Linked DNA regions of Coturnix japonica. The protein of the gene in region 2 interacts with the protein of the main gene of each other region in a pairwise test. Links are inferred from orthologs where the notes say so. Each region holds a gene or a part of one and is shown on either strand. Other genes may lie near its edges.

The links.
Region 1: the proteins of KLHL40 (region 2) and C2H7orf31 interact in a two-hybrid assay, tested with the Homo sapiens proteins (2 studies listed by BioGRID and IntAct). The two-hybrid records come from large-scale screens. The link is inferred for Coturnix japonica from reciprocal best matches to the Homo sapiens genes KLHL40 and SPMIP4.

Annotation. Positions count from the first base shown.
Region 1 is NC_029517.1:29,090,176-29,096,935, forward strand, and holds the start of C2H7orf31 (uncharacterized protein C7orf31 homolog), read right to left. Parts: upstream 3,418-6,760; 5' UTR 3,360-3,417; intron 1,809-3,359; 5' UTR 1,800-1,808; coding exon 1,669-1,799; intron 1-1,668. UniProt on the Homo sapiens protein: Microtubule inner protein (MIP) part of the dynein-decorated doublet microtubules (DMTs) in flagellum axoneme. May serve to reinforce and thus stabilize the microtubule structure in the sperm flagella.
Region 2 is NC_029517.1:1,780,757-1,787,516, forward strand, and holds the start of KLHL40 (kelch-like protein 40), read right to left. Parts: upstream 4,261-6,760; 5' UTR 577-4,260; coding exon 1-576. Other genes in the region: HHATL (protein-cysteine N-palmitoyltransferase HHAT-like protein), read right to left, coding at 5,932-6,053. UniProt on the Homo sapiens protein: Substrate-specific adapter of a BCR (BTB-CUL3-RBX1) E3 ubiquitin ligase complex that acts as a key regulator of skeletal muscle development.

The DNA.
Region 1 (6,760 bases), about 27 Mb from region 2:
ATGTGATGCTCATTCAGCCCAAACAAGGCTCTGTTAAGCTTAAAATGTCTCCAAGTCTCATTTTTATAAAGAAATATTTATAGTTAATATTGATCCAGTGATATTAAAGATTTTGAGGACACAGAGAAACAGTGTCTCTGCCCAGAGAAAATCAATTGCAGCCTCAGATAGACTGACTTTTAAAGAAGATACTGTGAACAAAGGACTGTTCATTCAGCATCTCAGAAGTATAGCCAATGTTTTAATACAGGTTTTCTGTTACTGAAACCTATGATTCTAGTTGTATTCTGAATGCTGCCAGGCAACTTATAACTGTCTAGCTAGAAAGAAAAATAAGTAAATGTTCTGGTATCAGAACATCTATTTGCAGGCACCTTTTTTGTTTTAGAAAAGTTGCATTTTTGCCTTCAAATTTCTTTTTGTTGTATGAGGCTCAAACCAAAGTGTATGAATAAAGTGTCTTAGATTGTGAGCTTGTGAAGGATGCCAGTAACTGATCTGATCAGGACACGAAGCAAACACCACCGAAAATGTGCTGCCAGCAGCTTCCAGATCTGTGGAAAATGTTTTCTTAGAGGGACAGAATTAGGACTCAATTCTGTATGAGCGTACATAGGATCCATTGGCACAGGCATTTTAATTTTCATCAGGAGTGCACTTCTGACATGAATCTTTTAATAGTCTCTATTTTGCAGTGCTTTGGCTTGGAGTACATGAAGTGGGTTCCTTGTGGATGGAATTAACTGGAAGATGTGCTCCAGAAATGCATCAGGAGTATAATGCAGTACTCAGTCTCTAGAATCATAATAGAGGTAATCTAAGCTAAAAAGCACCTGAAATCCAATTTTCTCAGAACACAAGAAATAGTGGAATAAGTCAGCAATAGTACTAAAACAGAACCCTGTATGTTACATGAAAACTCAGAATGAAATATTCTAACAACAGAGAGAAACTCTCATGTCAGAAAACGGTGACAGACTTGAATCCAACCCTTGAATTTGTTGTCTATCCAAAAAAAAAAAAAAATAAATAGAAATGTAGATCCAAAAAATAATTTTGCCTTTAGTGCGGAGCACCATGAAGATTCAGACTGACAGACATTTAAAAGCTCTTGGCATTCTGCCGCATGCTGACCCCCAGCTAACAGTTCAACTAGCCCATAAAATAGTAGAATAATGCACTGGTTCCAAAAACTTTCTTACTACATGTTAATAACTACCAAAGCAAACTGCAGGCTTCCTGTCATTAAATTTTAATCTTAAAGTTTATCTCAGTAATTCCAGGTCAATCTGTGATTTAAGAAAAAAAGGGTTCAAAACAGGACTAGATCAAAGAAGAACATGATAAACATTGATGATTCGTTTATGAAATATGCTCCTTTTTTTGGGTGGCATTTTTTTCCCCAAATTGGAAATACAATATACATGTCATTTTTATTCTTCATGAAAATTATTTCAAGAGATATTTGAACCCTAAAACCACAACATAACATATTTTCAGTTATAATCATGTTTTCCGGAGAACTGACAGACCATAGCATTAGGCTATAATGGAAAGAAAAGAATATGCCAGAAAAATACAACCCTTAGAAAAATACTTTTTAGTAACAACAGTTGGATATTAAATGCTTCTAATGGAATCATTTTTCCATGTAAATTTTGTTCTTACCTGTCTTGAAAGTCACTTGGAGGTGAAGGACTTTGAAGTGGAGCCAGTACCTCATTGGACTCAAAGTTTCTCGGTAAGAGTGTGTTTCCTCCCGTTTCTCTGTGGTAGTGGAGCAGGTCATGCAACATCATTTTTCATATCTGATGTTGTAGGGGAGGACAGAGGGATAAGATGCTAAATAATCATAATAATATGTCTGTGCATACAGGTGCTAAATAAGGAACATACACGATTTCTGCATATTTTGGTTGTGTAGACTTAGTTACTGGGAGTGACTGTTGCTTTTACTACAGCTATTGGTCATTTCTACCAGGTCATAGAACAAACCAGAACTGAGAGGCAGATTAGAAAGATGCTTTGTTAGTTGCTTTGTGTTACTGGTGGGCAGGAGATAGAAAATACTTCCAAGTGATGGCCGAAGGATGTTTGGAGTTGCACTCAGAATGTCTCACTTGTGATCATTTGGATTCAATGTAAAGTTCCAGTCCCACTATGGAAAAGGTGATACTGTTTCCTCAGAATTTCTCATAGGAATTTTTTGCTAGTTGTCACAATTGTCATTCTACCTGTGTGCTGAGGGGAAGTACTTCAGTGCTCCTGTCACTTGTATGTATTTCAACACTTGGTGTGCAAGTGAAAAGTAATGGGACTTTTTCTTGTTACTTGTTAAAGCTCTGGTTGATACCACTGGCACCAGCAACATCTTAGATAAAGTGTATGAAGAAGAACTACTGCTTTCTCCTCCTCCAATAGGAGCCACCAGAACATTCTCTTGTATCTACGCCTTACTTTTTAAAAAAAATCACAATGAATGTGTGTCTTGTTGTCAGTTTCCAAAGTGTTGCGTGGTATCTACATGAGCATTACAGGGATCTCATGCAGATGATTCAAATTCAAGTACTACTGCCTTGCGAAGAGAAAAATGTTCAGAGCTGTTGATGGGGCTCTGGGCAGCCTGAGCTGGTGGGTGGGCTGGGGGTTGGAGATGGATAATATTTAGGGTCTCTTCCAACCCAAGACATTTATTATTCTATACCTACAAACACCACACTCTAGACATAGTTTAATGTGTGTGGAAGGACACGATTCTCTGTCTTATTCTGCTGCTTGGAAAATTGGCTCAGCTCCTCCATAGGAGAAACCAAGGGTCTTATTGCTCAGTGAGGCCACCAAAGCTAGAAGACTGTCATTGGATGGAAAAGGATAGCTTTAGGAGGGAGATAATGGAATAATAAGCCAGGTGGAGCTACCTACTGTCAGGACCAAAATCTCAAGTCCTTCCTAATTCAGGGGAAATCATTTACATAAGTTAGCTCAAAAGGAAATCACTAGTTTCCAGGGTTATTTCTTTTCCAAAGCAGGAAGCACAATCCTTCACATTTCAGCCTCAGAGTTTTCAGAAGTCCATAGCTAAGACAATAAATCATCTCACTATGAGCCTTCAGGTTACAAAAAGCTATGAAGACCAGTTAGGAAGGCAGGAAGATACAGCAAAACTAATCTGAAGAACCATATCTGTATAAAAATTAACTTCTGAATGTAATAATCCTTTAAATAAAGTGTTTAGCAAACACCAGAGAGATTTTCTTCCAAAGCAGAGGATCAGTCCCTCTTTTCCCTAGCATGTCTGTCTGTATCCAGAAGAAAAGGTTAGATGGAAATCATAGAGCAAAAGCACAGGCTAAGCCTACCTTCTTGTTCAGTGTGACACAGTGTGAGTATGCTCTGGTCTGTGTTCTAGTAGTGTTTGACATCACTATGAGAGAATGTTGGGGATCTTCTGAAGTGATGCCTGCAGTGTGGCAGCTGGTGATGTTAGCAGCTGGGTGCCTAAAGCATGAAGGGATAGGAGATGCCACAGCATACTTGGGAGCAGGGGTCTGAGATACAAGTAGCTGATGATATGTTTTACCTATCCTGAATGAAGTAGTAAGTACAGCTACAAACCAAGCCAAAATACATTTCACTAAGAAAATTTGACCATGCTGAATATAATTGGGAAGGACTGAATGAAGCTGTAAGGATGTTACTAAATTCTTCCTAAACTGGCTGAGCCTAAAACACTTAACACGAGGCAAGCAGCACGGCATCAGGTCATCTATGAGTTATGACATCTTATTTCCATTCCCAGAGACAACAACACCCTTTGCTTATGTCTTTTGTGGGACTTTCACACTGTCTTTCAAAATAGTTGGATCTGGAACCAATGGACTATGGGTTCTGGTTAGTTGGTTTGCTGGATGTTTCTGCATACCTGTGCTTGACAGACATGGTGATAGATTTTGATCTATTTTACTTTCTTCTGCTGACCTTTTCTTTTCTCTCAGTCTGTTTTTTGTTTGAGTTGAATTATGGTCAAAATAAATGGATGTGTTTGAAGAGAGTGTTTTTCTTCTGTTGTTTCTTTCACCAAGCAGGATAAAATTAGCTGGAGATCCTACTTGCCATGGAAAAAAGTGGTGGGAAAAAAAAGCTGGAAGCAAGGCTTTTGGCAAGTGATAATACATAAATAGGTTTTCTGAATACCCATTAAATGGACTGTTGTGTTATAAGCCAGTGGAGCTGGTAATTGGTTTATTATGGTTTTGGAACACTGGTTTGTTTTTAACGTGGATGGCTTGGCCATCACATTAAAGGGAACTGCACATTAATGTCTTTGCTATGTACAAGTGTGATAGCTCTATCAGTAATTCCCAGAGTTCACAAGTTCAATATATTCCGAAAAATAATATTTTTAATGCTTCTTTCTCATGCTTCTAGACCAGAACGTATGGAAAGGCTTAGAAGAATCTTTTCCTTCATTTCATTAATTACTCAACTGTTGAAAAACTCTATTATTTGCTTCCAAATATTCCATGCGAGATTTAGAGTTGTGATTTTAAGATACCACAGGAATGACATTCATTATTTGTTTTTGTGGAGGGTGTGCTGGCTGGGGGTAAAATATCTTAGATCATCACTTGTACCCTCTGAATCCTCACATAGAAGAGATCTCCCAGCATGTAAACCTGTCATTGCCTGCCAAGAAGTTGGTTGTATCTCTGCAATGCGATCATCTCCCGCCTGTATCTGCAAGTTAGTGAGTTTCTTTGGGAGACAGCTGCTTGAGAGAACTAAGGTCTGTAAGACCTCTTTTTATTGCCCCCTTACTAGGCTACAGGGATTGTTCTGTGCTGATGTGATGAAAGAATTAGAGAAAGATGGATGTCACAAGATCACAGAATCACAACATGATTGAGGTTGGCAGGGATCTCTGCCCAAATCCTGCTCAAGCAGTGTCACCTAGAGCAGGCTGTCCAAGACCATGGACACTGATTTGTATCTCCAGAACCTGTCTGGGCAGCCTGTGCCAATACTCAGTCATGTTCACAGTAAAAGTGTATCCTGATGCTCAGAATCTCCTGTTTTTCAGTTAGTGCCCATTGCCTCTGGTCCTGTTGCTGGGCACCACTTGAAAAGAGATTCCCTTTAGGTATTTGAATACACTGATGCGATTCCTCACAAATGTTCTCTAGGCTAAACAGTCCCAGCTCAGCCTTTCTTCCCAGGAGAGATGACTTGCTGTCAACATTCTTTCTCATGTTGTTCAGATTAGCTATTGGCCTTCTTTGCCTTATGTTCAACAGGAGGTCCATGAGGACCCTCAGGCCTTCATCTGCAAAGCTGCTTTCCATCTGGATAACCCCCAGCAAGTAGTGATACTTGGGATTTTTCATTACCAGGTGCAGGACTTTGTTCTTCTTGTTAAACTTATCTTGAGGTTCCTGCCAACCCGTCTTGTGACCTCAAGAATGTGGAGAATAACTTCATCACAGTCAGATCTATTTCTGAAACACTGTGGAAATCAGAAAGGAACAGCTGAAATGAGGTGACATTAATAAGTATGTGAGGTCTTGACCACATTTTTGGCTCCTTACACCAGTGGCCAATTGACTACTTGTTCCCATTACTCTACAACCCAGGACTGGCAAAGGTGTCCCTATGCTGGGGGCAGCTTTGTGGAAAGCGTGAACAAAAGTGATCTCCCTTCCTGGAGCAAAGTGAAGAAGGAGCTCTGCAACAAGGCAGCTTATAAACTGCAGGTAGCTACCTTGTTAAGCAGAATATCCAGCTCCCAAGGCATAAAGTCACTTACTAGCTCTGACAGACAGCTAAAATAGCTGTTTGTGTTTTGCATATTCATGTTCTCAGATCAGAGCTATTTCAAGCTTTTCATTAACTAATACAGAAAGGATGAAGATTTGCAGAGACAGTTACTAAACCAGTATCTTTCCACATAGAATACATGGAATATAATAGTATTGTAAAATCGTCTCAATTGGAAGGGACTCTTAAAGGCCATCTGGTCTCACTCCCCCGCAATAAACAGGGACACCTACAGCTACATCGGGGTGCTCAGAGTCCTGTCCAGCTCTCAGCTGCTCTGTCAGGCACTCAAAGGACCAAGAGCACGGTCTGTAATGGAATCAGTTTTTGAGTGTTCTTTCTGCCCTCCGGTGGCCACACGGCGGTGCTGCAGGTTTGCAGCGACGTGATTTTCAAAAGCTTGCTTTGCTCTTCGTTACTCCTCATGTCAGGCTTATTCTTTAGAAAACGAGCATAAAATGTTGTTGTATCCCCAGAACAGCTTTCCTGTATGCACTGTATTTACTTATGCAATTTAACTGAGTATTAGACTATTTCACTTGTCAGATTACATACAATTTTCTTAGTTTTGTATGGTAACACAAAGATGTGATTTGCACGTTAGGAGGAGCAGGTAAGAATAACTCCCTTTTTAGCCACTAAGGTCATTTCAGGCCAAGGATCCACGCCTCACTTTTGTCTGCATGACACACATTGCACCATTGCATACAGCAGCTCCTTCACTTCTACGTCTCTTCAGTTACAAAAACCCCACTTAAAGTTTCTTTGTTAAATCAGTCAATTAATAAATGAGCTGATTTCTGGGAAAACTAGAAAAATTCCCTTTGAGGGCCATTGCACCAGCACAGACTGCACTGCTGTCATGCCCATTCCAACACGCACCAGCTGCACTTGGCATGAGAGGTAAATAAGATCCAGAAGACATTTACCACTAGTTGTAAATCTG
Region 2 (6,760 bases):
CTTCTCAGTGTTGAGGGAGTCATTGGAGATGATGGCGATGAGCTCGTCGGGTGAGAGCTGGTAGAATTCCTCATCACGGGAGACCAGTGCAAAGCGATCACAGATGAAATCCCGAGCTGCCACAGCCAGCCGGGCACAATCCAGCATCAAGCCCAGCCTGAAGATAGCCAAGCAGTTGCTGAGACAAAGGCGCTTCTGCAAGAAAGACACACAGACAGTGAAGATGGAGGGGATCTGGAACATGTTGGCCACAGAGAAGATGTCCTGAACATTCTGCTCTGTGATCTCCAGCTCGGAGGTGTAGATGTAATGGAGGATCTTGCCCATGACATCTGGATCGACATCTTCCAAGCTGACCTCCCTCTTCTTGCTCTCTTCCATGTCTGAGAGGAACATTGCCCGGAAATAGGGGCTGCAAGCTGCCAGCACCAGCCGATGGCAGGGAAACTCCTTTCCCTTGACTTTCAAGACACAGTCCAGAAACTTATTGTGGTCCAACATGTCTTTCAGTCCATCCTGGAGGAGGGTTTGCTGGTAGAGACGCAGTTCTTCCACTTGATCAAAAGGCAAACCCATGGTGGAGAGTAAGAACTCCTATTTTTTCCTAAGCTTTCTTTTGAATCTGTTTATGAATATATCTTTATGTGTGCCTTTGGTAAGGAAACTTTCTCAAAGCAGGGCTCGCAGGTCTCCCTTGCTTCCAGCCCGTCAGCACTCTGGGAATGTGAAATGCTCGCTACTATCGCAGCTGTCTGTGTACTTCAGCTTCCAGCGCAGGGCTTTATATATAGCCACTACGTTACAAAGCTTAAGGAATCCATATTGGAGCATGTGTAAACCGATCACCCTTTAATATGACACACTGGGCAAGGGGGGAAGGGAGGGGACTGGAGGAACAGCTGTACTTCAGCCTCGATGCTTCAGGAACCATCTTTGAGCCGATGAGTCACCACGTCCTCTGATGGAAGGACGTGTGCAACCCTATGACACCTCCACCACACTTGGGAAATGTCCTCCAGATGAATCAACCACCGTAATCTGCCTTTTGGGACATGGATGGCAGGGATGAGACCTCTGATGCTGCTAAACAGAACGTTCCCAAACTGCTAAATCTTTTGTGGTGCTAAAAACAGGCCGTGAATCAAAGATGGAAAGATGCAAGAAGGGGAAGTCCATGTGTTGTGGCATCCCTGAGTCCAGCTCATCCCCAGGGCTGTGCAGGTTTGTCCTTTCTTCTCCTCTGGAGTCAGTTTTCAAGGGTCTGGAAGGGGATGGGGAATGAAGCACAAACATCTGAGGCAGAACTAACTTCAGAGACCCCAACAGTGAGCTTCATCTCACTGACCGAGACACCTGAAAGCAGGTATTTACTTGTGAGTTTGGGGGTCTGCTGAGGTCTGCTGGGATTCAACCCCCAAGCTGAAGCCTAGAGACAAAGTGGGACAACCTGGCCAGCCTTCAGTGTGCAATGCAGAAGAGCCAAGGGCTCTGCCAGGTCCTGCATCCTGCTTGGATGTCCATGGACATTGTAGAGCCTCATGGGGCCTCAGCTGGATGCTCCAGGTCCAGCTGTTCCCACAGAGCTCTCAAGGAAGCAAATTGGTTTGGGCAGACCTAGGTGAGCAGAGTAACTATGATTGTTTATAATTATGGTAAAACTTCTACAGGAGTCTGTTTTATCTCCGTTATTATAGACCCTTTGGGCTTTCTGACACTCAGAGATGGCACAGATTTAATTAACAAATTAATTAGATCTATGCAAAGCCATTAGCCGCACTCTTCTTAGTGTATTTAAAGCCACATAACCCCTTGCTCTGGCATGTGTGTGTTGATAAGTATGCTTTGTGACATGATGGTTATCTGAGTAATGAGGGAGGGGATGGCACTAGATAAAGCCGTACTGGTGATGTTCCAGCAGCATCCCAGGCAGTAATATAGCAGGGCTATAATCATGTGCTGATTTCAGCTCACATCATCAGTTCAGAGACAGGACCGGAGGATGAGCACTGATCTTTCAGCTGGCTCATCCATCAGCAATATTCATTTACTCACAGATTCCTGGGACTGGACTGACCCATCCTTCCCCTTCCTTCCTTCTGCATTATTGTTCCACTTTTCCAATGTGGTCACACTGTTGTTTATAATTATCGTGCCCTGCCTTTAATCTTCCCTGAGCCCTGATTTATTTTCCTTCTCACCATGCTGCTCAGTGGGTGCTGCCATCCCAGATTTCCTTCCGTGTTCCTCACATCACGAGATGCTCTCACTGCTCATCATAAGGTAATAGCACTAAATGCAGTGAGATCTACCCGACATGGCAGCCCCTATAGAAAATACAAACTAATGTTAGTCTCTTGCCTATGTGGGTGATTGGAAAGAGGCACTGGCTCTGGCTCAGGTAAATAACCCACACTGGCAAGGGCAGGAGATAAGTGATGGGCTCAATGCCATCAGCAGCAATGGCTCCGTGAGTGCAGGAATCTTCTGACCCACCTTTGTGTGCGAGTCTCATCACTTTAGAGATTGATGATGGACTGATGGAAAACAGAGATATCTCCAAGCAAACAGGGCTCAAAAGCAGTTGGTTAGAGTTTGCACTGACTGTAGATGGGCTTTTTCTCCCCTTCAGATTTCACCCTGCCATAGGCTTCTCTGGCAGCAGAAGTCATCAGTTTGCCACCATTCAGGGAGATGGAAATCCCTGGGATGGGATGACTACTTCAGGACAAGGTCTGCTGTCATCTGAGAGTTGGATTTTGATTGCTTTCACCATCATTCCCTGCTTTGGCAGGGAAACCAGACTCAGACCTCCTGTCCAAGTGTGGAGCATCCCTATTTTTGAATCCATGTGGCAGAGATGGCCTTTACCAGCCTTCATTTTGCTCTGTAATTAAGTCAGCCCATTCCAGAGTTTGGTGAAAGAAGACCTGGATTAACCATCAAAGGTTTGTCTCTCCCACCCTGGAACTGTTCTTGAGGCTCCCTATGGCCACAGAGAGTTGATTCGCTTTTGGGAGTTGATTCCAAGTTGGACAGTTGCCTGAGGTGAGAGGACTCCACTGAGGTCCATCTTTCCCCATTCACTTAAATCATGAATTCATCCTAGATATCCTTATGTGTTCCCAGTGCCTCCCACCCCTGGCAAAGATTGATGCCATCCTCATGAAGGCCTGTGGCAGCACTCACACCTGTGAGCTGGGCAGTTATGAGTAGCTCTCAGCCAGCTGACCCTAGTCTAATGGAACTACAATGAATGAGTGGCACCCAGTGACCAATGGACTAAGTCAGTTGTCTCCAAGTGGGCAACAGTCACCCCACTCAGGATGAGGGTGAGTAAAAATGTATGTAAATCATCCTAAGGGGATGAAATGTAGGGGGGTTGTTCTCTCCCGTACAGATTTTTAGAGCAAGAAAGGTGAATGCAAGAATTATAGCTGTGTCAGGTTGAAAAAGGTGCCTAGAGTTGAACTACTCATCTGGATTTGTAGTTGTAGTAAAAATTGCCTTCCTTGCTATCACAGCCAGGCAATAACAAGGTTGGATACTTTCCCCAGTGGTATATGCTGAAGCTGAGGGTCTTCTACATAAGGCTGAGCAATGAGATGTGGCTGTAATAGCAGTGCTTTGGTGCTCCTGGCACATAGGATCCCTTTGGGCTTCTAACAGCAGTGATAACCAAGGGGATACCTTCAGGCAAAGGTGGGCAAAGTTCTCCCACGAGCTGTTCTGTAACAGCTCTACCAGTGCCTAAGATTAGCTCTGACAGCTCCATTAGATGTAGCTGCTGAGTAAATTTAGATCCTTAGTGAATGGGTTATTTTCTCTCCCAGACTCTCCAGGCTGGGAGGGCAGTGCAGAGTCATTGGCTTTGCCATGTGAGTCATCTTCTCCAACACTGGGAGGTGGTGACTCTGTTTCCCTTCCTGTGCACATGGGGCTGCCCACAAGGATAGAGCCCTTGGACCCTGCAGCTCAGGGAGGTTCCAGCTGTCTGCAGACACCTGCATAGGGGAGCAAAACTGGATTTTACACTAGGAGAGGGCACAACATATCACAGCTGAGTGGCACCTACCAAAGGTCCAGCAGCAGACCTCTGTTTCAAAAAGATGTGCTTGGCAGCTGAAGGGGTTCTATGGATGTGACTGGAGGTGCAACCAACACAACACCTTACTGCCCTTCCAACATCTGTGGCCAGGCTCCCAAAAAGAAAACCCACATGACTTCTACCTCTAAATCCACACAGACAACAGTTTTACAGCAGTAGGCTTGTAAAATTATACCAGCACGGCAGTAGACTCAAAATACAAATGAAGCTCCAGCCACACATCACTGGCTTCAATCTGATAATGACGAGTGGGTCTCTTTTGAAGTCCTTAGATGTCAAAATTGCAAACAGACCCCTGGATCTCCCAGTTCCCAAGGTAGCACGTCGCCCAGGGGTCATTGGAATCACAGCAACACAACATTAACGAATGGTAGCCACCATAGATGTCCAACAGTTTTTTACTACATAAATAAATCATGTTTATCGGGGACTTTGTAAATCACTTTGGCAGAGCTGAAAGCTGACAAGTTAAACCATTCCTGCTTCATCCACTGGGAAGTCACCAGAACACCAAGAGTCTCAACCCGTGTTGCAAAGTGGTCCAGATTCTACCCTCACCACACATGGACGTCATTCAGACATAAGGCCACTGAAAGCTTCTGTTAAGTGCAAGAGAGATGGATCTATTTCCAGTTATAGACCCGTCTCCTCCCCAAGGCACCATGGGGTCATTTATTCAATGCACTTCCCATGCAGTGCTCCAAAGTCTACTTCTCCAAGGAGGCTACCAGGCACTTCCCCTCCACCACCCAACCCCAAAGTGCTGCCCTTCATTTGGTGCTTTTCTCCTTTGGTTGTATGCATGTGTGTGTGTTCATGTAGCACAGGCCTAGGCTGTGTGCATCAAAGTCTGGCTGGGTGGCTGGAGATGGGCAAGAATTGGCTACTGAGCCCTCAGCCACAGGCAGGAATGTGAGCTTAAACCTTTGCCCATGGCATGCAAAAGAAGCTGGGTGGTACTTGGTTTGAGTCCCTGGGCATGTGTCACAGCGAGGTGGTTGTGGTGGCCACATCCATCGCACAACCCACAGCGAAGGGTCCTTTGTGGGGGCTGAGCTGGGTCTGGGCTGAACTTTGTCTGGTTGAAACTTTGCTGTTTCTTCCACATGCCCACCCTGCAGACGAGCAGTACATGATGTGCTCTGGCTGTGAAGCAGGCATGCCTCCTGTACTGCCACTGACTACACCTGAGGCTGGCACTAAATCACTTCTCAAGATGCTTAGGACTGAAGGGACCTGTTTTGAGATACTAACAGGCATCACTCTGCACTGCTGACAGCAGTGGGAAGACAATTACTCTTCCCTGTGCAGTTCCTCAACCTCTTTCCCTTTGCTATAAAAGACTGTTCTATTTATTTATTAGCCTCTTGGTAGGCGTTCATTGTGCTGAGCCATTTCACAGTCCTTAATGCACAGCCCCAGATGTTGAACCATTTACGGTATGTGATGGCCATTTCTTGTAGCAAAAGAAAAATGTGATGCTTTGGCTGGAAGTGACCTGGAGATGGGAGACCTGGGCTGCAGGTCCTGTGGGAGAGCCAGATGCTGATGGATTGGGTGTTATGGGGAGCAGAGGGTGAAATCTCTAGGTCTGCATGGTGTCAAAGGGTCAGAAAAAGGATGGAGCCTTAAGGATGTGTCTTGGAAGCCTATCTCAGCTGTCTGCTACGTGTGGGGTGGCATGTGCCTTCCAGATGACTTCTCTATAGGTGAGTTACAGCAGTCTGATTGCCAAGAGCGCTTGGAGAGCCCTTTCCAGCAGCTGGCTTGGCAGAGGCAGTCAGAAGGGAGTCCAGGCTTTGGGGCAAACCAACTGATGTCTTCCTCTACTCTGCCTTGGGTTTCTCACTCTTCTCCTCTTCCATGGCCAGGATGCGTTCACGCTCTTTGATCAGCTGCACTCCACAGTATGTGATGAACCAGATGGACAAGGTGCTGACAGGGAAACCTGGAAGGTGGAGGGAGACATGGTCACTTTGGTGTGCTGCTTCATAATGGGGCCAACTCTTCTCTGGCACCTCTGCCCCTCGGGTGGGCATGGGAGGTCCTCGGGTTCATGGCTAAAGTTGTTTTCCTTTGTGGATCCAAACCAACAGCTTCACAGAGAGAGGAGAGAAATCCCCAGGGGTGGATTTTAGATGAAGAAGTGCCTAAATCAACAAGGGCATTCTGGATCACAGTTAATGCTGTGGGAACATGCTGGAGTTTTGCTTTGAGCTCTCCCTGATGTCCAGACCTGCTTTGCCTGTTGAGTTCAGACTCAGCAGTTGTCTTTGTGCCCACGCAACCTGCCATCATTCATCCCTGTTCAGCACTGCAACCTTCTAGAAGCTTTGGACCCTGCTGACACTGAGGGTTAACCTCAGCTTAGTCCCATCCCAGTGTGGGAACATGCTTTTGTCACCTTGATAAGTAACAAGAGCTGGGAGGATGCCTTCTACTTAGGAAGGGCCCGTGGGTGTTTGTAACAACAAGCTGGGTATCCACAGCAGATAGGAGGCATAGGCTTTGTACCCGCTAAAAGAGGACTTCTGCAATTAATAATGCAACCCACAAATGCCAGCTAACTCAGTGGGCAGGCACTTCTGGCACATGGAGCCCAGTGCGTCACATTATCCATTTCCTAAGCCAGACCTGACCCAAAGTGGGCTGGAG